Canis lupus familiaris: one gene and its partner. The protein of the gene in region 1 binds, or shares a complex with, the protein of each later gene. Links are inferred from orthologs where the notes say so. Each region holds a gene or a part of one and is shown in the gene's direction. Other genes may lie near its edges.

The links. Proteins that work in one complex are often made in the same cells at the same time.
Region 2: the proteins of LZTS1 (region 1) and ASB7 are in contact, whole or in part, in a crystal structure (PDB 8Y1U), measured with the Homo sapiens proteins. The link is inferred for Canis lupus familiaris from reciprocal best matches to the Homo sapiens genes LZTS1 and ASB7. Residues at the interface, in NP_001349813.1 of Homo sapiens: Arg346, Glu348, Leu349, Leu352, Met353, Glu355, Gln356, Leu358, Leu359, Glu360, Lys362, Leu363, Arg364, Ser365, Tyr366; in NP_937886.1 of Homo sapiens: Asn46, Trp48, Ala56, Ile79, Phe82, Tyr87, Met90, His91, Asp116, Trp118, Val123, His126, Tyr127, Ser147, Lys149, Thr151, Gln155, Leu156, Ile159, Arg160, Phe182, Arg185, Tyr186, Ile189, Lys190, Arg210, Leu220, Leu223.

Annotation. Positions count from the first base shown.
Region 1 is NC_049246.1:36,939,036-36,950,220, forward strand, and holds the start of LZTS1 (leucine zipper putative tumor suppressor 1), read left to right. Parts: upstream 1-3,903; 5' UTR 3,904-4,085; intron 4,086-4,271; 5' UTR 4,272-4,444; intron 4,445-11,185. UniProt on the Homo sapiens protein: Involved in the regulation of cell growth. May stabilize the active CDC2-cyclin B1 complex and thereby contribute to the regulation of the cell cycle and the prevention of uncontrolled cell proliferation. May act as a tumor suppressor.
Region 2 is NC_049224.1:40,774,131-40,784,559, reverse strand, and holds part of ASB7 (ankyrin repeat and SOCS box protein 7), read left to right. Parts: intron 1-4,620; 5' UTR 4,621-4,742; intron 4,743-6,606; 5' UTR 6,607-6,657; coding exon 6,658-6,868; intron 6,869-10,429. UniProt on the Homo sapiens protein: Probable substrate-recognition component of a SCF-like ECS (Elongin-Cullin-SOCS-box protein) E3 ubiquitin-protein ligase complex which mediates the ubiquitination and subsequent proteasomal degradation of target proteins.

The DNA of each region.
Region 1 (11,185 bases):
CTTTCTCTTCTCAATATAATTCTTTCAAACATTGTTTGAATGCTTTCTGTATATCAACTATGTGCTGGGCATTCAGTGTTGAACAAGAAAGATGTGGTCTCCGAGTAAGAAGGTTACAGAAAAGTTGAACACACAAACAAAAAGATGGGCAATTATTTACATTGTAATAGGTGAAAGCACACTGAGAAAGGCAGAGGCGCTTCTAATCCAGAGAAAGTGTTAGGTTAACTGGTCCATGGGCCTGGTCCTATGTGGCCAATCTAAGGCCCTAGAGATGAAGGACAAAATGATAAGCCCGAATGGTTAACTACTTGAATCTTTGTTGGTGAACAGATGAGGAAGGCAGGGAATTTTTTTACAAAAACATGCTTTTAACCCAGCTTTCCAGACTCAGCTCAGGCAAGGGAAAGTCTGGCAGAGATTCCTATGGGATACCCAGGGCCCCGTCAGGGCAGCACTCCTTAAACAGACAAAGGAAGAGGAGCCACATTGAGAATCCCACCAGGGGTGTTAGGAGCAGACACACCCAGTCATTGCATTACCATACTCAACAGCTGAATCAGGGAGCTAATTATGGCTTTCTACTTCTGGAGTCCACATTCCTGAGGATTTCATGCACACACACACGCGCACACACACACCACGCTGTACCATGGCAGCTCTTCTCCCCTTATTCTGCTTCCTTACTTCCACCCCCATTTTCAATGCACCCCACTTTATCTCTGAAGCATCCCTTGCACAGGGTGCTTCTGTTGTTTCATACTGTATCTTGGTTCCACCCCTTGCATACACACCAATGCTTTGCCCGCATCCTTTGCCTAACTCAGTCATTATAAGAGAGCTACATGTCATGCTTTATATGCTACCTAGAATGCTTCTGACAGAGAACCATAATATGTCAGTGCTGGATGCGTCCCCTTAAAGAGTCTCACTCAAACTACCCACTTTGCAGATATAGAAACTGAGGCCTAGTCAGGGACATGGCTTATCCAAGAGCATTTAAGTAGTAGTGGTAGGGCCAAAATGAGGAACAGGTTTTCAGGATTAGTATTTTTCTCCTTCCATGGAATTCCACATCTAAAAACAGAAAAATGAGTTTGACTGAAATCAGAAGTCCACCTGATTATTTTTTTAAGATTTTATTTGTTTATTCATGAGAGACATACAGAGAGAGAGAGAGGCGGAGACATAAGCAGAAGGAGAAGCAAGCTCCCCATGAGGATCCTGATACGGGACTCCATCCCCAGATCCCAGGATCACGTCCTGAGCTAAAGGCAGATGCTCAACCGCTGAGCCACCCAGCATCCCATAATTCTTTATTCTACCTTCCAAGATTCTACTTTTTTTTTTTAAGTGCTAAGATGTTAGATTTATATTAATCCATTCTGCAAGTGTTTCTGAGAAATTCCCACCTGTGAGGCACCACATCTGTCTCTGGGGATGTAGAGTCCAGTGTCTGACTGTAGATAGCTCATAGTCTAGGGAAAGACAGACCTGCAGTCACAGTCACCATGCAAGCAAGCATACATATGAATGGGACAAGAGACGTGGAGCTCTAGAAAAAGGAATTGTCGTTTTGGCTGAGATGATCAAAGATGGTGTGAATAAGGAAAGCATTTTAGGTCTCAAATTTTGACAGGTAGAGAAAAGCCTTTCAAACTGAGGGACAAATATATGCAAAGGTGGAAAAGAAGAGGTGATCTTCAGAGAAGGCTGAACTGGCCTTTGGAGTTGATACAGAGAAGTTGTAATGTTCCTTGTAATAGCTACCATGTGTATGTACTTACCACATGCCAAGGATTCTTATTTAATCCTCATAGCAAACCTATAAAGTAGGGATTGCTTCATTTACAAGTAGTTATAGAATGACTATGATATACCAGCCAGGTTCTAGGTGCTGAGGGTACATCTGTGAACAGAACAGATCAAGTCCCTCCGCTATGAACAAAACCGAACAAGTCCTTGCTCTCAGGAAGTTTACATTCCAGGAATTGTTTCCCCATTTCATAAAGGGGAAAAATATATATAAACGACAATATCACCACCAAAAAAAAAAAACCAAACAAACAAAAAACAAAAACCCTGAGATATAAGGAGGTTATGGCCTTGGCTGAGGGTCACACAGATGATAATTAGCAGAGCCTGTCTCTGCTCTGGAAGTCTGTTGTGTTTCCTTCCAGGAAGCTTAGAATTGAGAGTTGAAGTTTTCAGAGTCCAGATCTGGAAATGGGAAAGATATTTTACAAGATTGAGAGCAACAGGGTGGCTGTAACAACATGGTGTTGCTTCTGTTTGGGCTGTCTTCCCTCATTCCACTTTTTTTTTTTAATTTTTATTTATTTATGATAGTCACACAGAGAGAGAGAGAGAGAGAGGGGCAGAGACATAGGCAGAGGGAGAAGCAGGCTCCACGCACCAGGAGCCCGACGTCGCACTCGATCCCGGGTCTCCAGGATCGCGCCCTGGGCCAAAGGCAGGCGCCAAACCACTGCGCCACCCAGGGATCCCTCATTCCACTTTTAGTCAGAGATCAGCCACCTCAGTGTTCCCTCCTCCACTTGGCTGAGGCTGGCATTCCCTGGGTAGAGCCGTGCCTGGTTTTAGTGAATTAATTAACCTGGGTGAACCCAGGACCAGAGCCTCATGCCACACCCAGCACCCCATTTAACTGGCCTTTTGTCCTCCCAAAGCCTGTAAACTTGGTTTCCTTCCTAGCCCAACTGCTAGAAGTTAAAAATGAGGGTGGTGGAGAAAATGATAGCGTTAAAAAGGTACTGGGTGAGATTTATAGCTATAAACTTGGAACACGACTCAGCTTTCCTTTTTTTTATATATAAATTTATTTTTTATTGGTGTTCAATTTGCCAACATACAGCATAACACCCAGTGCTCATCCCATCAAGTGCCCCCGTCAGTGCCCGTCCCCCAGTCACCCCCACCCCCCGCCCTCCTCCCCTTCCCTCACCCCTAGTTCCTTTCCCAGAGTTAGGAGTCTCTCATGTTCTGTCTCCCTTTCTGATATTTCCCACTCATTCTTTCACCCGAAACCTAGTCCCCCGGAGGGAGCTGGAAAAGTTTGCCTTTGAAATGTCTTGGAACGCTTGGGTGGCTCAGCAGTTAAGCGTCTGCCTTCGGCTCAGGGCGTGATCCTGGAGACCCGGGGGTCGAGCCCCACATCGGGCTCCCTGCATGGAGCCTGCTTCTCCCTCTGCCTGTGTCTCTGCCTCGCTTTCTCCGTGTTTCTCATGAATAAATAAATAAAATCTCAAAAAAGAAAAAGAACAAGAAATGTCTTGGGAGTGGGGGTGCCAGTGTTCCGGGCCCCTGCCTTTAATCCCAGCACGTGAGGCAATGCCCATCACTAGGCTGCTGGTCCCGTCTTTCACCTGGAAATCCAGCCTTTCCCCGGGACCCAGGGGCTGCAGGGCTGGGGCTGGGGAAAGCAAACTGGTGAGTAAGAAGATGGGGCGGGGAGCAGGGGGGGGGATGAAGGAAGAGAAGGATCCAGGGGAAGAGGAGAAAGCCAAGGAATGAATCTAGGAAACGCGAAGGAGGAAGGACGGAGCGCGCGTTACCGAGGAGGCAGGGACAAGAGCAAGAAGGGAAGAGTCGCAGGAGGGGCAGGGCCGGCGGGTGGAGGGAGAGAGGCTCAGGGCCGCCCGAAGGGGTCTGCGGGCGGTGGCAGCGGAGAGCCGGGGCCCGCGGCCGCCGCCGACCCCAAGTGCGGGGCAGCCCCAGCTGTCAGCCGGGAACAAAGGCCGCCGAGCAGCAAGCGAGAGGCTGCGAGCCGCGCCCGGCCAATGAGCGGCGCCGGCGCTCGCCCCGCCCCGCCCCGCCCCGCGCCCCGCCCCGCCCCGCCCCGCCCCGCCCTCGGCTCCCGGACCCCGCGCGGAGGCCGGCGCGCCGGGAGCGGGCGGGCGAGCTGCGGGCGCGCGCGGAGGCCGAAACTTTCTCCCGCCGCCGGGTCCGCCGAGCCGGAGCCGCGAGCCCGCAGCCCTGCGGAGACGGCCGGGACCCCACTGCAGCCCCCCGACCCCCCCCCAAAAAAAAACCATGCCCAAGCCAGCCGGAGGCGCAGGGGGCAGGTAAGGTGCGCTGCGCGCGGGGTCCTCCTCCGCCGCGCCCCGGGCGCTCGGGCTCGGGGGCGACCGCGCTCCCCGCCGCGTACCGGGCGTCCGGGCGTCCGTCGGTCTTTGTCTGTGTCGGCGTCCGTCCGGGTGTCTTTGTCTCTGCACGTAACTGTCAGGGTCTTTCTTTCCCCCCTGCGCCAGGGTGGGTGCTGCTGCTCGGGACCCAGCCTGGAGAAAGGGATGCTGCGCCCGTCCTTACGGCTTTGTCTCCGTCTCCTGCACCCTGGCTTCATCTGCTTCCAGCCCCGAATCTGATCTTGCTGGACACGAAGTGTTGGGTGACACTGATGTCTGAGATGAGCCAAAGGGGAAGTGTGCGTGAGCCCAGAGGGTCCCTGGCCCCAGACGGAGGGTGTGACAGCTGGGCTCTGGACACTGCACTTGGCCGTCCGAACTCTGGAGATGGGCCGTGGCCGTGCTCACGGGGTGGCAGGGACACTGGTGCAGTTAGAGCTTTGGGACGTCTCACTGAAGGAATGTGTCACGGGGGCTGAGTTGGATAGAGAGGGGCTCCATGAACGTGGAAAGTGGCCCCTGGAGTTGTGGGTCAACAAGGATCAGTCGTAGACTTGCCATTCAGCCAGATTAACACACACACAGTCCCACACCTACACACACACCACGTTCACTTCTTTCTCTCACCGGCCAAAGGTAGCCAGCCCCCGACTCCCTCCCCACCCCTACACACACACACACACACACACACACACTCTTCAACATGCTGAACTCCTGCTTTCAGAGCATCAAACTCAGCAGCAACAGGCATCGAAACACCACAGGCCAGGTGATCTTTCTCCTTCTTGCTCGAAATGGAAAGGAGTGAACTCTGGAGCAAATGAATGTTCTGCTTGCCCACAAGTATGTCAGGCCTAGGAAAGTGCTTGGGACTTGTTAGCTTCAGAGCCCTCGGTTCCCTAGGAACAAAAAGAGTGCTTAGGGATCTGAGCATCTAGATTTCCTGGATCGCCCCCCCCCCCCCATTCTATCCACACCCTCCTGCAACCATCAACCCTGGTCTTCGGTCTTAGGTGCTGGGCAGACTAGCATGGAGGGACTGAGTTCTGGAGAGCTCTTGGCAGGAGCTGTGCCAGATAAAGGATCTCCTGCTCTGCTGGAAGTACAGCCTAGTGGCAATCAGAGGAGCAGAGAAGTCTAGCCAGAGAGAGATGAGCTGTGTGTGTGCTTGGCAAGTCTTCCAGAACCAACGACCCTTGAGAAGACTCTGTGGGTAGGGACTAGACAGTGCTTGTAACCTGAGCTTCCTCTAAGTCCAAAAACAATTTTCTGTGGGTATACTGGGGAACATATAGGTGCTAAAGCATACACACACACACACACACACACACACACGAAAATGGGTATTAGAGACAGCTTTTATAGGCGGGAAGGGTGTTTGTGTTCAAGGGTGAGAAGAGCAGAGTGTGTGGGTGGAAATCTGTGGGCAGGGGCATACACACTAATCAGGTCTGGCATTTACACCTTATATTTATCCAGTGCCTTTCTTCTGAGGTGCTTTCTCCACATCACAGACGTTATCTCATTTGTTATCTCCTTTATCCTCACACTGTAACTACCAGGTTGGCATGAAGCATGGTTCATTCTCTGTGTTCTACCAGTGAAGAACGGGGGCCGGGCTTTCCCTAAGGTCCACAGCTAATAGGAGCAAAGTTAAGTTTAGCAAGTGGAAGTTCAAGTACGAGGTCTCAGCTGAGCAGATGGGTGTGTGGACATTCACTCTTCATGAAGTGAGAAAAAAAAAAAAAACAGGTGGAGAAAAAGGATAGTCTTTCAGGAGTGTGTATGTGTAAGCGAGAAGGAGGATGGGACGTTCGAGATGGTTGTTACTTAACCATTTATGGCAGCCTCTGTGCACCTACCTCACGAAGTAAAACCTGCTTTAACAATTCAGCTTGTACATTTGTGTGTCTGTCGAGGAGCCTCCTGTCTTGCCATGTGCATCCCAGTAGATGTGTGTTGAGGTGGCTGCTGTCTAAAGTGTGCCGCTGTGCAGTGTGTTGTCAGGGAGAGCCAATGCTTTGGGAGTGCATGAGGGAAAGATCCGCCATGCAGTTTTGAGAAGCCACTTTTGTGCCTGTGTGGGCAAGGAGGTAGATGGGTTCCAACCATATAAAAATGGCTTCCTAATTCTAAAAAGTTATGTATATGCCTTTGCACTTATTCAACATTCACTTAATAAATATTCATTGGGTACCTACAAAATGCAAAGCTCTGGGCCAGGCATAGCCTCATTAAACTATGAAGATGCATAGGGTAATGAGGGCAAACCTGTGGTTGATCAGCTTATAGACTGGTGTCATGGGTAATACTTAGCAACACCTAATACTGTTCACTAAGTACACTATGTGCCCAGTACTTGTTATTCATTATCTCATTTAATTCTCAGCACAGGCCTGCAGGGTGTGTATGATTATTAGATGAGGAGAGTTAAATAATGTAGTTAGGATAGAGGATGGAGGAGCAGGGGTTTGAACTCCACTCAGCTCAGCTCTGGCTCTTTCCATGTTCTTCTACTAACTTTGAAAAGAGAAATACACGTTTCCGCTCTGTCAAATATTCTTACCCCGTCTCTCTACCTCCACCTAACAAGCTCCCACTTGCGCTTCTGGTCTTAACCATGAGAATCAACCCATCCAAGAAATCTTCCCCTCTTCTTTCCCTATGTCTGGGTTACATGCCTTTCTCTGAGTTCCTACCATCATTCCACACTATTCTGACATTTACCCACTGATCCTGAAGAGCCCAAATGGTTCTTAGAGGCAGAGATGATGTCATGAATGCCCAGCTCATAGTATACTATTTAGCTACTATGAGTAGGCCCTTAGTAAATGGTTGCTTAATAAAGCAATGGGAAGAAGAGATATCGGGGACTGTTGGCAAGGAACATTTTCCCAGCACAGATTCCTGCATGGCCTCTGGCTTTCCTGCCCCTGTTATTGGGTCATCTCTTTCAGGGCCTCTGCCTAGACAGGGTTCCTTCGTCTCAGTTTCTAACTCCAGTTTGGGAACACAAGGAAAACCTAGCTCCTACCCACCCTACCAACCTAGGCGCTCTATCTCGGGGTCAGTCAACCAATGGATATATACTAGTGGGAAGTGCTAGGTGTGATCTAGAATTAAGGTTTTAAAAATTGTGCAGTTGGAACCGCAGGAAGGCACTGGTTCCAAGGCAGTGATGAGGTGTTTCTAGGGGTTTGCTAACAAAAAAGTAGCCAGCTGTCTGGGGGATCTTTAGGCACTTTAAGTGGTAGTTCTTTGAGTTTCCTTTTGAATAGATCTTTATGCTGCTGCAGTCTGAAAATTGCTGATCTAAAATAGACACTTACGCTGTTGTTGGGAGTGTGAATTGCTACCATGTTTAGGGAGGCAATCTGGCCATGATTTCCCCAAGGTCACGTGGTTACAGTTTGGTGACTCCTGTCTCATGCCGTTTACACCACACCATTATTTCTCATAGCAGGTTTGCCACGTGCCTTCTCAGGGGTTTGTGATTATTTTAGTTTCCCTAGAACTGTACATCACTATTTATTGAAGGTTTTCAAGGTGCCACGGAGGTGGGGGATTTTTTAAAAAAATGGTTCAATAATGGCTTGAGACTAAAATTTGTGATGGGAATTGAGAAGAGGAAGCAGCATACGTAAATCAATGACAAGTACATTGAAAATTGGATTGTACTAACTTTGAACACAGCAGCTGCTCAGCATGAGGGAGGTGAGCTCAAAGACACCAGGGAGGAAGTGGTCATGAACTAAACCTTGAAGTTAAACCTCAGGAAAGTATAAAAAGTAGACATAGCAGCAGCAAGGTCATAGTTCCAAGATGCAAGCTGAGACCTGAGGAAATGGAGCTTTTTCTTCCAAAGGGAACCCAGGTAAGAAATGTTTCCTCCTTCCATGTAGCTCAGCAAGGCACCCAGACCAGACAGAGCTGGGAAATGAAGGATGTGAAGTAACTCACCTCTAACAACTGCCTCCAGCAAAATGAGTGTGCAGATTGGCTCTGGATCCCCTTCTCCAAGGATTTAGAGAAGTGGGTGGAGATGTGTCAAAATCAGGCATGGTTGCGTTGGGCTTCGGGCTAGCTGCCGATTGGCAGTGCTGCCTCTGTATCTGCAGTCTCCATCCTGCTTCCTGCCAGACATCGACTTCCACCTGACAGTCTACCACCATCTCTAGGCTGCCTGTAATAATAATTTTAATAGCCTTTTTTATTTGTACAGGACTTTACACGTTAAAAAGGATATTATTATTGTTGCTGCTATTGTTGTTATTGTTAGGATCATTATCAACCCTGTGAGAAAGTATCTTCCACAATTTGGCATATGAGAAAACTGAAGGAACCTATTGGGGGTGAAGGGGTTCACCCCAGATTTTAAGTGGAATGCTGGGATTTGAACCCAGCTGTCCTGACTCCCAATTCATTGCTATTATCACCCAATTGGCAGGCCTCATTAATTAGCAAATAGAATATGAGCGTGTGTATGTGTTAGCTAAAAGCTAAAATTAATTGTTCTAATCAATCCAGTAGACTGGTGATTTTTCTTGCTAAGTGATAGGCCAAATTGGTGTCTAAATAGATGTGATATGGGTTTTGTCCAGTACCTGGAACAAAGGCAGTAAAAAGTTGCCCTATCCAGATCACCCATAGATTAGCTTCCATGTCAGTTAATCACTGTGGGAGAGGATAACTGCCTTCAGAATGACAGCCAGCAGACACACACACACACACATGCACACCCGAATTCATTCATTCATCTCTTTCACTGAGGCATGCTCTCCTCTGATATCCACACTCGCAGTCATATCCCATAACGTGAATCCTTAGACATTCCCAGATGGCAGGACCTGGAAGATCCACACCCTATGCCTACTTGGGTTGGTCTTTCTGTGGCATGATCTAAAGTGTGCTTGGATTGCCCCCCTCCTCGATGGCACAGAACCTCAATTTCTGCCATGCCCAGAGCAGTCTTTTGAATTACCATTAGTTCTTCAGAGCTTCAGAAGCTCCCAGGCCACAGCATCTACTAGAAGAAGAGAGCCCAATCTAGGTAAGACTCTCAAGCTAAGGCATACCCAAGGACACAGGCCCTCAAAAGTGCCAAAGTAGAGCTGAGATCAGGGGTGAGGGTAGGCATTGCTTTGAAAATCAGTTGCTGTTTAGGGATGAACCCTGCCCTGTGCATGAATATAACTGCAATGCATAGACTGCCAGGTGGCTGAGGCAATCCCTGCCTGAGGCACCAGGGCAGGGCTGTACACTTGGCTCACTGGCCTGTTGGCTTTGGGGGCATCTTCACCCTCCTTGCTGTTGCAAAGCCATTTGCTGCTAAATCACCCTCCTCCTGGCACCCTGGACTGCTAAATTGGTCTCAACTTGCTGTACTTCCACCCACTACCTTAGTCATTATTCGCTGGCAGCATTCACAGAGTGGGTGTAAAGCAGCTGAACATTATATTCCTGCTGAAGAGAGAATTGAGTATAGGCATGCAAGGGAAGGAGGTAAGGGAAAGCTAAGGAGGCAGGGAAACAAAGCTTGGATCTGCCAGCACCTTTCCCTACTAACTCCAATAATTCTGGACAGTTGGGTGGTGGGCAATAGGTGAGTGTCCTGGCTCAATAGGAGGAGACACAGGATTCTAGGGTGAGAGAGGTACACTCACTACAGTGGGGCTGCACCTACCTGGGAGGAAGAAAGGACATCCTCTGTGAGGAGAGAAACACCCCCCCGCCCATCAGCTCCCTGTTGCTACAAATTCTGCAACATGTACTGTCATACCCATTGAGCATCTATTCCCATGTATTAGCATTTAGCTTCTCTATCCTTCCTCCCTGCCTAGATTATAAATCTCTTGAAAGGAAAATGTGTCATGTTTCAGGTGACACAGGCTCTGGACACAGGGCTCAGCCCCAAAGTGCTGAAGGTAATGGTGATGAGGCCTATGGTGGCCCTTCCTTCTCAGCCATTTCAGATCTCCCTGTGCTGTCCAAGGGCCACAGGGTTTGGGAACCCAGGCAGGCAAGAAGAAAAGGAATAACAGGGGAACATTCGAGGCTGGGTCTATTATCTCAGTGAGGAAGCTTTAGGGAGGGAAGGGTTATGCCACACAGGAACAGGCCAGCTAGGGAGGTAGAAACTTAGAGACTTTCTGTTGTGGCATAGAGGCTGCAAGTAATCTCCAGCCAACAGATGGGGTACTCTTTCCTAGCTCATCTAGCACCCAGGATTGCACTAGGGCTGGTAGGAGGTGAAGAACACAGTTGGTTCTCATGTCAGACAGCATCAGATGGAACAGGGTGACCTTGACAGGAGGTTCTCTGAACCACTGATAACTTTTGCTTGGTCTCCCAAGAAAGGGTTGGAAGGGGAAAACAGTACCAACACAACCTGGCCTGGAACCCAATGGACTCCCCAACCCAGGTTCCTGTCCTCTGACCCTCTTCTCAAGGAATATAATGAGAAAACCCTGAGAATAGAAGCCACCACGCAGCTAGGGACAATGGGGAATTTGCAGAGCATGGCAAGGGATAGAAGTCTAGGGGAATGAGCCCTGAGGTTGCTCTTGACCTTCTGCTAACTGTTAAGAGGCAGTCTGACCAGTGTGTCTGGAGGATGCCTGTGCTGAGTCTGCCCTCGTCACCTCAGCAGCCAGGTCAGGGATGTCAGGGTTTCAGAAGGACACTTTAAGCACTCAGAGCACCTCCCTTACTTATTGCAACCTTCAGACACTCCAGCTTTGGCTCTCTCCTCCTTCCCATTGAAGGGTATCTCAACGGTGCACATGCAGAGGAGGCTAGGAAGGATTAGAATGTGCTCACATCCTGAGAAGACAACCCTCCCCGGCCCCAGTGCCTCAGTGGTGGCACCAGCAGGGAAACTGAACTGCAGGCAGGTGGGGAAAGCAAGAGCCAGGAGGCAGAGCCCCAGCCTCCACCTGCACTAAAAACGCAGCGCTGCACTGAAGGAGTGCTCACAGCTGCCCGCTCCTCCCCTCCGTGGGCCTGCAGCGGCCCTGCTCAGAGACCCGCACTAGCAGGGA
Region 2 (10,429 bases), on another chromosome or scaffold:
TCTTTATACCAGAAGTGATACCGTTCACAATTGCTTAATATTATGCTACATATAATATCTATTTTCTTTGCGTGTGACTTTGGTAACATAGAAATTTCATACTATTCCTAAAAAGTCTGAAGTCAGATAAAGTTTATATAAGCATACCTAATATCTGACTTACAGCCTTTCACTTCATTCCCAACTGAATACACTCCTTCAGTAGAGACTGATGGTGTTCCTTCTTGCAAACTTCCTCGGCACTGACATGATCATGCAAGACATGAGTTACTAAGATAATATTGACAAGACCTCCTCCGTTACAGTTCTTGTGGTTTAAGTCTTGAGTTGAGCCTGGATAAGTGAGTTATACAAATTCCTCTCTTGCCTCCTCCACATTCCACGAAAATGGTTGGTTTTTCTGCTGGAACGTATAAGAATTGTAGATAAGTTGTGCATGATAATACACCCTTGTGTTATACGGAGGCCCAGCACTTTGGAGGAAATATGAATGCCCTTACTTGTTTTAGAACATAAACACCATGCTGACCATGTAGAGTGATACTAAAAAACACTTCTACTTTATTTTGGGTTCCAGGCTCTTGAATCCTACAAATAGTGCTGGTCAGTATAGACCTCAGCCATGTGGCACACTTTGGGCCTTATGATGTTGCTGCAGCCATCTATCTTTCCTCTTAGGACCTGTGAGCCAATGGTGGTTTTTGTTCCTCAGAGCCAATATCTTGGGTTGCTGATTTTATTTTCATACCAGCCTGATCTCTGTTTGCTCTACAAAGAATTGCTTATTTCCTTTTTTGAGTAGCAAGCTGTTATCTTGTTTCTAGTTTGTGTGAAATCTGAAAGCACAGTTCTAATTTGTATCACTTAATCCAAAAAATGTGTGGACTTTTAGTGAAAATAATATGCAAAAAGCCATTAGTGACTAATCATTTATGCTGAAGGAAACTGGGGACATGTGGCAGATCTGGTAGAAGTTTTATACAATTTTAGACAGGTCTTAAATATATTTTGTTTTGTAGTTATTTTACACTTCACTCTGTTCCATGAATATGAACTTCTTTTAATTATGTGAAGCAAGAAATTTGGTTTCTCCTTAATGCAGTTCACTTGGCATCTTTTTGGAATTTACTGGTAACAGCTTAATTCCTAAATTTATAGTTTCTAGTATGGTCAACAGCGTAAAAGCTCAGAGGCCTGGATGGTTTTCTTTTGACCTCCACGTAAAGTAGAAAAGATGGACTCGTAATAGTTAAACACACAATTCAACACACTACCAGGCAATGAAACCTCACATAAAAACGATATACCGGGGGGGCGGGGGGGGTGGCGGGGAGTAGCTCCTTTTGATAAGTAATTCTGAAGTCTTCCTTGTTTGTGTGTGTGTGTGTGTGTGTTTTTTTTTTTTTTTTCTCTTTTCTGACTGGAACCTGAAATGGCATTCCTAAGATTGCACCCTCAGAATTTTAGTCATTCTGAGTCATTAGTTTAAAACAACTCGCATTTACATATATTTCTTTAGAAAATTGCCTCCTTGGCCATATTCTTATGTTTTATAGGTGACTTCCAGGAGCACTCAGATTTTCAACCTTCTCCTTGAAGGGAAATAGACTGTTTTCCTATCTCATCTGTAGACTTTTTCTGTAATTTTTAATAGACACCCTTAGCACTGGATGCTGTATTAACTTTTTCTGTTCAATAGTCTTTTTAAAAAAATTTACTCATAAGTGGATAGTTCTACCCTGTTCAGTGCAAACTCGTATAACACCAAGATCAAATGTATTACTTGTCTGGTGCCTTGGACTATTGTCGTGGATATTTTGGTAATAAGTCATTGCCCTTCATAATTTAAGGGATGCAGCTGACAGGAATTATGTGTGTGTGGTACACGGATGTTTGTTTCTTCTGGCAAAGACTGATGCATGTACAAGAGTGCTTTTTTGGTTTAAACCTATGGTTATTATTTATAGCACTTTGGTGTTGTTAGAAGAGAGAAAATGATCTTAACGTTTCTAGGGGTATTTAAGTATGCAGAACTCTCTATTAAAAGTTCTACCAAGAGGTAACACCAGTGGCCAAGGCCCAGCCGTGTGCCAAACACATGTCAGGCACTCAGTGGACTTCCATTTGTGTGACCAAAGAGCCCAGACAGCATTATCACAAGTTGCTGTGGTTTGTGTACCTTTCTTGTGGAGAGAAACAGTCCCTTCATCTTTTATCACAGCCTTTTCTTGATACTACTAATAAATTAATACCATTTCGTATTCTCCTCCATCCCCACTCCCACTTTGCTTGTCTTCCTCCCTATGCACCCCCCATCTTCCTCCATGAGTAGATGGAAGGCAGTAAGAGAACAAGGATTCTTAGAGGCTTGAAACCATGAAGGGCCAGCTCCGCTTCTCTTGGGAGGCAGGGGATACCAAGACACCCTTAGAAACAAGGCATCCAGTGGTATTGATACCTGAAATGTAGAAAACAATCTCCTGTTCATTTGTGGAAAATGCTGGAGGCTCATCACTGGATATCTCAGTAGGCTTTCTTTAAACAAATCTTTAGTATAGTTTTAGATTCATAGAAAAAACATGCACAGATAGTACAGGATTCCCGTATACTCCACACCCAGTTTCCGCTAACATCTTGTATTAATAGATGCATTTCTCACAGTTAATGAACCAACAGTGAACATTATTATTAATTAAAATCCATATCCAGATTTCCTTAGCTTTTATCTAATGCCTTTTTCTGTTCCAGGTTACCATCTAGGACACCATATTACATTTAGTCATGTAAACTCTTTTGGGCCATGACGGTTTCTCAGCCTTCCTTGTGTTTTGATGACCTTGATATTTTGAAGAGTACTGGTCAGGTATCTTGTAGATGTCCCTCAATTGAAATTTGTCTGGTATTTTTCTCAAGATTAGACTGAGGTTATGGGCTTTGGAGAGAAAGATCACCAAGTTAAAATTGCTGTTGTCTTCATATTGTACTCATAACACAACTTGGCACTGCTGCTGTTAATCATGATCACTGGGCTAGGATGGTGTTTTTCAGGTTTCTCACCATAAAATTGCTCTTTCCCTTCCTTTCCATGCTATCCTCCTTGGAAGGAGGTCGCTATGCATGGCCTACACTAAAGGGGAGGGAAGTTATGCCCTACTCTTTGAGTAGGGAGCATCTATACAAATCTTTGGAATTATGCACAGGAGATTTTGGTTCTCCTCCCTTCCTTTATTTATTCAACCAGTTATAGCAATATGGGCATATTGATATTTATTCTGTACTTTGAGTTAGAATCCAACTTGATTATCTTGTTCAAATTGTTCTGTCTTGGCTGATGAGAGCTCTCTTAGTTGGCTCCTGTGCTCCTGTAACATACCCCCATCACTGCATTTTTCTTTGAGCACTTCCTTTTTGGCACAATGAGATGCCCCAGGCTCACCTTACATGTGTATTTTCTTGCCCCACTCTCAGAATTGGGCATTTCTATAAGGATGGTCCTGTATTTTTTTTTTTTTTTTTTTTGCAGCTGGCCCTGTAGTAGGAGCTGTTCTGTTATGTCTAATTCAGTTTTTTAGAAACAGTAGGCAGTTGTAAGTCAAATATTATTTCCAAGCGCCTCTTGGCCAACTCTCTGGCCTTCCTTGAAAAGTTTGATGAGGGAAAAAAAAAAATGTATGGAAAAAGGAAAGAGTCAAAGTGGACTGTACTGATTTGGTTTGGTTGAAAATTCTGGTGTGCACCCAGCAGCCCCTGTGATTGCCACTCTTCGCTAGAGCCTGTCGAGTTGCCAGGTGGTCCGATCTTTCCTGTTTAAGTGACATAGGGCGTAGCACACGCCACCCCATGGGGAAGGCGGTGGCAGTTCTAGTGAGTAATTCTTAAGAGTGATTCTAGTGTACTGTGTGCAAGTCACTTAGCGTGTGCTCTTAACCTTAGTGGAATTCACAGACCTAGGATTTAATTTACATGGAGAAAACACCCTTTTCCTTAAACCTGTAGAGAATTTTTTCAAAATTCATGTGGAGAAGTTGACAAGAAATGTTAATCTTTTACCTAGTTTGATGTATACGTAAAGGAATAAAATTTCAAGATGATTGACACAGTGCTTTTTGGGCATACGAAGAACCAGCATTTAAAGACATAAATAATATCCTTTTTAGTTGTCATAGATTCCATTTTGGTGCTGTCCACTTACTGTATTGAATCAACACATGCTTTTGTTTTTTTGTAATGTTTAGAAAGATCAAGCGCCTAACAGCATCAGTTAAAAAGTAATTCAGATGTGCAAGTCTGAAAATATGCTCTGAATAGAGCAAAAAATAATAGGAACATGTGTTTGCATCCAAGTTCCAAATGTGTGATTTTTTAAATTATCTTTATTCTTTTTCAAAAAACTGTCCTTTTTAGGGGAAAAAAATTCCTGATAAAAACCATATTCTTTACCAGTTTGGAGATTAATGTAGGTACCAGGATCCTTTTCTCTAAGAATTGATCTGAGTTTTTGCTCTGAAAGTTTGTTATAAAGTGCTAAAATTTAAATTCATCCAAAGGTAGACTGTGTAGGCAGTTGTAAGATTTTTTACTGTTTTTGGGAGTCTTCCCATAATTGATATTTGTTTTTAGGTTAAGAAAGGTCATTCATGCTGCAATTTGGATACCCCCTGAGCCTCCTCCTCACAATGCTGTATGTGCACAATGGTTATTAGGCAAACCACATATCAGGAGAAGGGACATTCTTCTATAAGGTAAGTGACTAATCATCATTGGTCATTTGGGCAGTTCTGGGTGAAAAATCCACTTAGCCTTTGTTTTTCCTTCAAATCAGCTAACATATACTAAACACAACACTTGCTCAAACAAAATCCAGGTTTGCTCCAAAATTGATTGGATCTTGCATAATAGACCTCATTTAAGTGCAAAGATAATCGTCTCATTTTTAAGGAAAAAAAATGTTAAAGTTGATTGGTTTGAGCACATAGTAGTAGTTTTCATTAGTTTGTAATGGTCTTCAACATCTTCTCGTATAATTCTAAAAATAAGCAAAAACGTATTCCAAAAGGATTTTCGGTTTCAAAATTTCTGAAACAAAAGACTTAATTTTATAGTTTTGATTGAAAAAGGAGTTAAGTGAGGAGATAAGGGGGAAATCCTGTTTATTAAGAAAACAAATTGTGAGGAAATTTCTCATTTTAACTTCTGTTACTTAACAGTAATACTCATGAGTTTGAAATAACCATTTTCAATGTACAAAACAACAGGATATTTGATTACACTCTTAAGCTGTGACAGTTTGACCTAGGTCAGGCTTAAGTTTACCTTTATGCAATCTATAACTAGAAGTTTTACAGGATAAATTATTATTGGTAACAGGATTATCCCAAGATGTCTAACCTACATAGGAGACCAAAATGTCTTTAAAGGACTTTATCACATAATTTTTTATTTTTAGAAATGGAAGCCTGCTAATTAGGAGATGAGTCTAATCTATTCCTTAAAATTAGTCCAGATGGACTGGCTTCTTACAAGTGTGTTAGTTTAAGCTTCTGTAAGCTGTGTAACTTAAAAATGCACTGGAAAAGTGTTTGCGCACACGTGTAAGATTCTGCTTTTTACCAATTCAATTTGGATTTTCTTCACAGGAAGGAGATCTTCTATTATATTGAGTCTGAGTGCATACCTCTTTTGTGACCTAATAGAGGGTGTAGAAATTCAATATACTACTTTTTCTTTAAAATAGTTTTTTCATGTGGTGAATCAACAGGTTGTTTCATGTTGGAAAAAGAAGTAAAAAACTTTAAGTAGGTCTCCTAATATTTCGTATGATCTTGGTATTCTGCATGCTTATAGAGTAAAACTTCTGGAAAACTGAAATTAGGAAAGTGGAAAAGATGTGGTAGAAAACAAGGGGTGGCATATCGTGTATCAAATAGCAAAGTGGGGAGGACAGAAAGACAAAGAAATAAACAAAAGGAGAATATGTGTTATCCGTGCCTTTTACTTTAATTCACCCCATGCATTTCCCCCTCCTCCCCAGACCTTTCACCCTTTGGGGCTAAAACTAAGATATTATTGAAATACTTTAGGGGACTCACTTAAAGTTTTTTACTTTTTTTTTTTTTTTTAACCTGTCTCTCATAGTTAAAGGTCTGCAGTCTTCATAACCTGTGAATTGCCCATTTGATACTCTATATTTCATTCAGTGATCTGCTATATATCCTGATTGGTTTATAACTCTGCGTTAGGGTAATCAAACTCCTCTGACTCCTCTGTTGTCTTGAATTTTCTAGCTGCCCAGCATCGCCTTCTGTTATACCTGAAATAGGGCTACTGTGTTCCTAGGACATTTGCTTTGAGCTTTCAAAAGACTACAGAAGAAATGTCCTGTTTCAGCAATTTAAAGCTTTATGCCTGGCTTTTTGTTTGGAATCTTGTATAATCTTAATCTTGGAAGTTTTGGTTATAACAGTTACTTGTTAATTAGTTGTAGGGGGATGAACTGTCATTACTAAGATTTACATGATTTGACAATGGAAAATTCTGTACTATTTAACAGACACATCGTGAGGAGCCATGTATTCTAAATTTCATGTATTCTGTTTCCCCTTAAAGCCTATTCCCTGTGACCTAATGAATCCTTTGTAAAAAGTGGACTCAGCTAGGATGTTACACCACCATTGTCGAAGGAACCCTGAACTCCAGGAAGAATTGCAGATTCAGGCTGCAGTTGCTGCTGGGGATGTTCACACAGTACGAAAGATGTTAGAACAAGGCTATTCTCCAAATGGCCGGGATGCTAATGGCTGGACCCTGCTTCATTTCTCTGCAGCAAGAGGGAAGGAAAGATGTGTTCGAGTATTTCTAGAACATGGAGGTGAGTTTACCAGCAGCAAACCTTTTTTGCCAGAGAGAAACTTAAAGTATATTTAGTTTAAAATATATGTGCACATGTATGTAACATTTATACTTCACTTTGGTTAACACCCAACTTCACACCCAACTTCCTGTTCTTTCCCTTGTGAAGATTTGTTGGAATTATGTGGAGTTTTGTTCAAGAACAGATTGTTTAAAAGAGTAGTTTCATGAATGTGCTTTTTTCTCCTCTGTAACTGTAGTTTATACATAGCCAGGTTTTCCCAGAAGCCCTTCATGTTGTCTGGTTGCTTTTGTTTCAGAAGCAGAAGTGGCTCTGGGACCCACAATTAGAAAGTTACACAAGTTTCCCCTTTGGTAATTGCTCATGCAAACAAAGACTTAGCACTGGTCCCTTTAAATATCATGGCCTTAATGATGATATCCTGTCTTTTGAATTTACCTCTTTAAAAAAAAACAAACTTTGGATGATTCCTTTTATTGCTGTTTTAGAGCACTTGCCTTTACTAGAATTGTACATAGTTTCTAGGTTAGAAGACAGATTATCTGAGGTCTCATTTTATATAAATACACACCATTGGAAACTACCCCTGACATTTTATTCTTTTGCTTTGAAAAACTGTCCATTCCCAAAGTTAATAATTTCCATAATTAATAACAACTAATAATTGTCCTAAACTAGTTTACTTTTTTTCCAGTTGAATTTCTGCTTTCTTTATTTTCCAGAAATGAGCTATATGTATTTTATCATTTGTACCCAATTTATCTTTGTAAATGCTGGTGTAAAGCAGCCATATTGAGACTCAGGTTTCACACGTGTGCCTTTCGAGGGCCTGAATTGCTCTTTGCCAGTCAGTTGGTTTTATTTTTAAGGCGTACTATGTTCAAGACTAGTCAAACTTGTAAACCTACTTGAAAGTACAGAAAACTAGAAGTCCTAGGGCTCTTGTGAGGGTCGTGTGAATTATGCAAAGCTAGGACTATGGAGGCTGTGAGCAGGAATTAATTGCAGGACGCTGTTAAGCCTGAGACTGTCTTCACACAACCCAGGGCCCCATGCTAGGAACTAAATCCCTGGTACCGTTGACAGGACCCATTCATTCACTGTCCCGGGCCTCCTTTGTAAGCTGTCCGCCATCCCTCCTGCTACTCTTGCTCCTGCCTCATTTTACCTTACTCCTTGGAAAGCTCACTTCTGAACTTAATGAAGGGAAGATGGAAGAGAAACAGGAGAGAGATTGGAAAAAATCTGAAAGGTGGATGTGGATCAGAACACTTAAAATTTTGGCAGCGCTTACCAAGATCACAGTGTATGGTTTTAATCCAACCTAATCCTGTTACTTCCTGCTGCTGCCAGCCGTGCTTTTAAAATATTAACTAATAAATAAATAAATAAATGTTCAATTACTCAGGTAATATTGTCTCCTTAAATAAAACAGTTTTCAGATAAACTATAAGTAAAGCCAAAGACCCCTTTGCCCAACTCCCAATCCTTTCTGCCTGCCCCCTCTCAGAAATAACCATACGTATGAGTTTGCGATCATTTCCTGACACTATTATTCGCATTCATAGAAGATATGTCATATTGTCATATTGTGTTGTGTGTGATTTTAGAACATAAGTAATATCCTACTGACTGTATTATCCTGCAGTTGCTGTTTTTCATTCAACTATACAATTTAAGTTTTTTTTTAAACTATCAGGGGTTGGCAAACTTTTTCTGTAAAAGGCCAGGTAGAAAATATTGTAGGCTTTGCAAACTCTGATGTCTCTGGCATAATTACCCAACTCTGCCTTTGTAGCATGAAAACAGCTATAGACAGTTTGGAAATGAAGGAGTGTGGGTGTGTCCTGATAAAACTTTATAAAAACCAATAGCAGACCAAATTTGGCCTGTGGGCTATAGTTAATCCTGTCTACTCACTCACCCTCCCCTCCATGTGGCTGTGTGTGTGTGTATGTGCTCGCATGTGTGTCTATTAATATTCTTTAATAGCTTTTATTGAGGTAGAATTCCTGTGCCTTACAATTCACCCATTTAAAATGTGCATACAGTTCAATGGCTTTTAGTATATTTATAGAGTTGGCCATCCATCACCACAGGTTATTTTAGAACATTTTCATTACCCTCCAAAAAATCTTGTGCCTGTTTTATATTAATACATATAGATTTGTTCTGTTCTTTTTAGCTGCTAAATATAATATTTATTAATATGGACATACTATCATTTGTTTAAACTATTTTTTTTTTTTAGAATGGCTGAAATTTTCTCAGCAGGAGATTTTATTTGTTGAGAATGTAATACATACACATACGCAGTTAAAAGCCAAATGAAATGTATTCTGGACTGTTCCACTCTTTAGCACCCGTCCTAATTTCTCTTCACAGAGGCAGTCCTTCTAACCGGTTTCTTCTGTGTCCCTGTGGAGATAATCTGTGCATATCAATGTACATAATTTTCCATGCTCCACCTTCTAGCGTGTTCCTTTTTGTTGTTGTTGTTGTAAATAGTCTATTCTGTATCTTGATTCTTTCACGTGGCAGTTCAGTTAAGTGATAGATCCTTGTCATTGTATTGACGCTTCCAGATTCCATTGCATGGATGTAATTTCTTTAAACTTATCCCTTACTGTTGGACATTTTGATTTTTCCATTTTTCTGCTACTAGAAACAGTATTACAGAGAATGTCTTTGACTCTTTTTTTTTTTTTTTAACATATGTGAGAGTTTATCTCTTGGATAATTCCTAGAAGTGCAAAGGGATGTTAATCAATGGTATGTTAATTTTTTTAAAATAGATTTTTTAACAAATTGTCCTCCAAAGGTTAGGAGGGCTCTCTCCTAACTGACCAGGTAGGATCGTGCCTGTTCTCCCACCTTTGCCAGGAGTCTGTCACCAGATGGTTTGCTCTTCCTCTGTATGATTTGCTGGCCTCTGTCTTTCTCTCTCTCTTTTTTTTCCCCAGGAGTGACATTTGAGTAACAAAACATTGCAGGACAGGGCTGCTTTGCTGGTCCTTTTTGTATTGATTTGTAGAAAATTGTTTGTATATTCTTGTTTTTTAGAGAGACGTTGCACCAATTTTCTCTCAGTTTTTAGCTTTTTCAAATTCGTGATGTTTTTTATGTTGCCAGGCAGAAGTCTGCCTTTTAATGTAGGTGAATTTTATTTTCTTTTTGCGTTACCATTTGTGCTTTTTGTGTCTTGCACATCATACCAAAGGGTCATTATTTGCCTGTATCTTCTTCTGAAAAGTTTTGTGGCACTTAGGTTCTTGATCTATCCAGAATTGGTTGGTGTAGTAAGAGATGGCCAGGTACAATTTCATATTTTTTCCGCATAAAGGGAGCCTAAGTCATCCTTTCTATCCTCATTGCTATGTTCTTCCAGTTCAGATATAAAATCTTCATCTCTGTGTGGTTCCATGGAGTCTAGTGCCTGTTGGTATAACCCTGAGTCCCTATAATACTATGTAATTAATAGTACTCTATAATAAGTTTTGATTTCCTGAGGGACTGGGGCAGAGGGGAGGCTGTCAAATCTCCTCTCCTTGTTCTTTA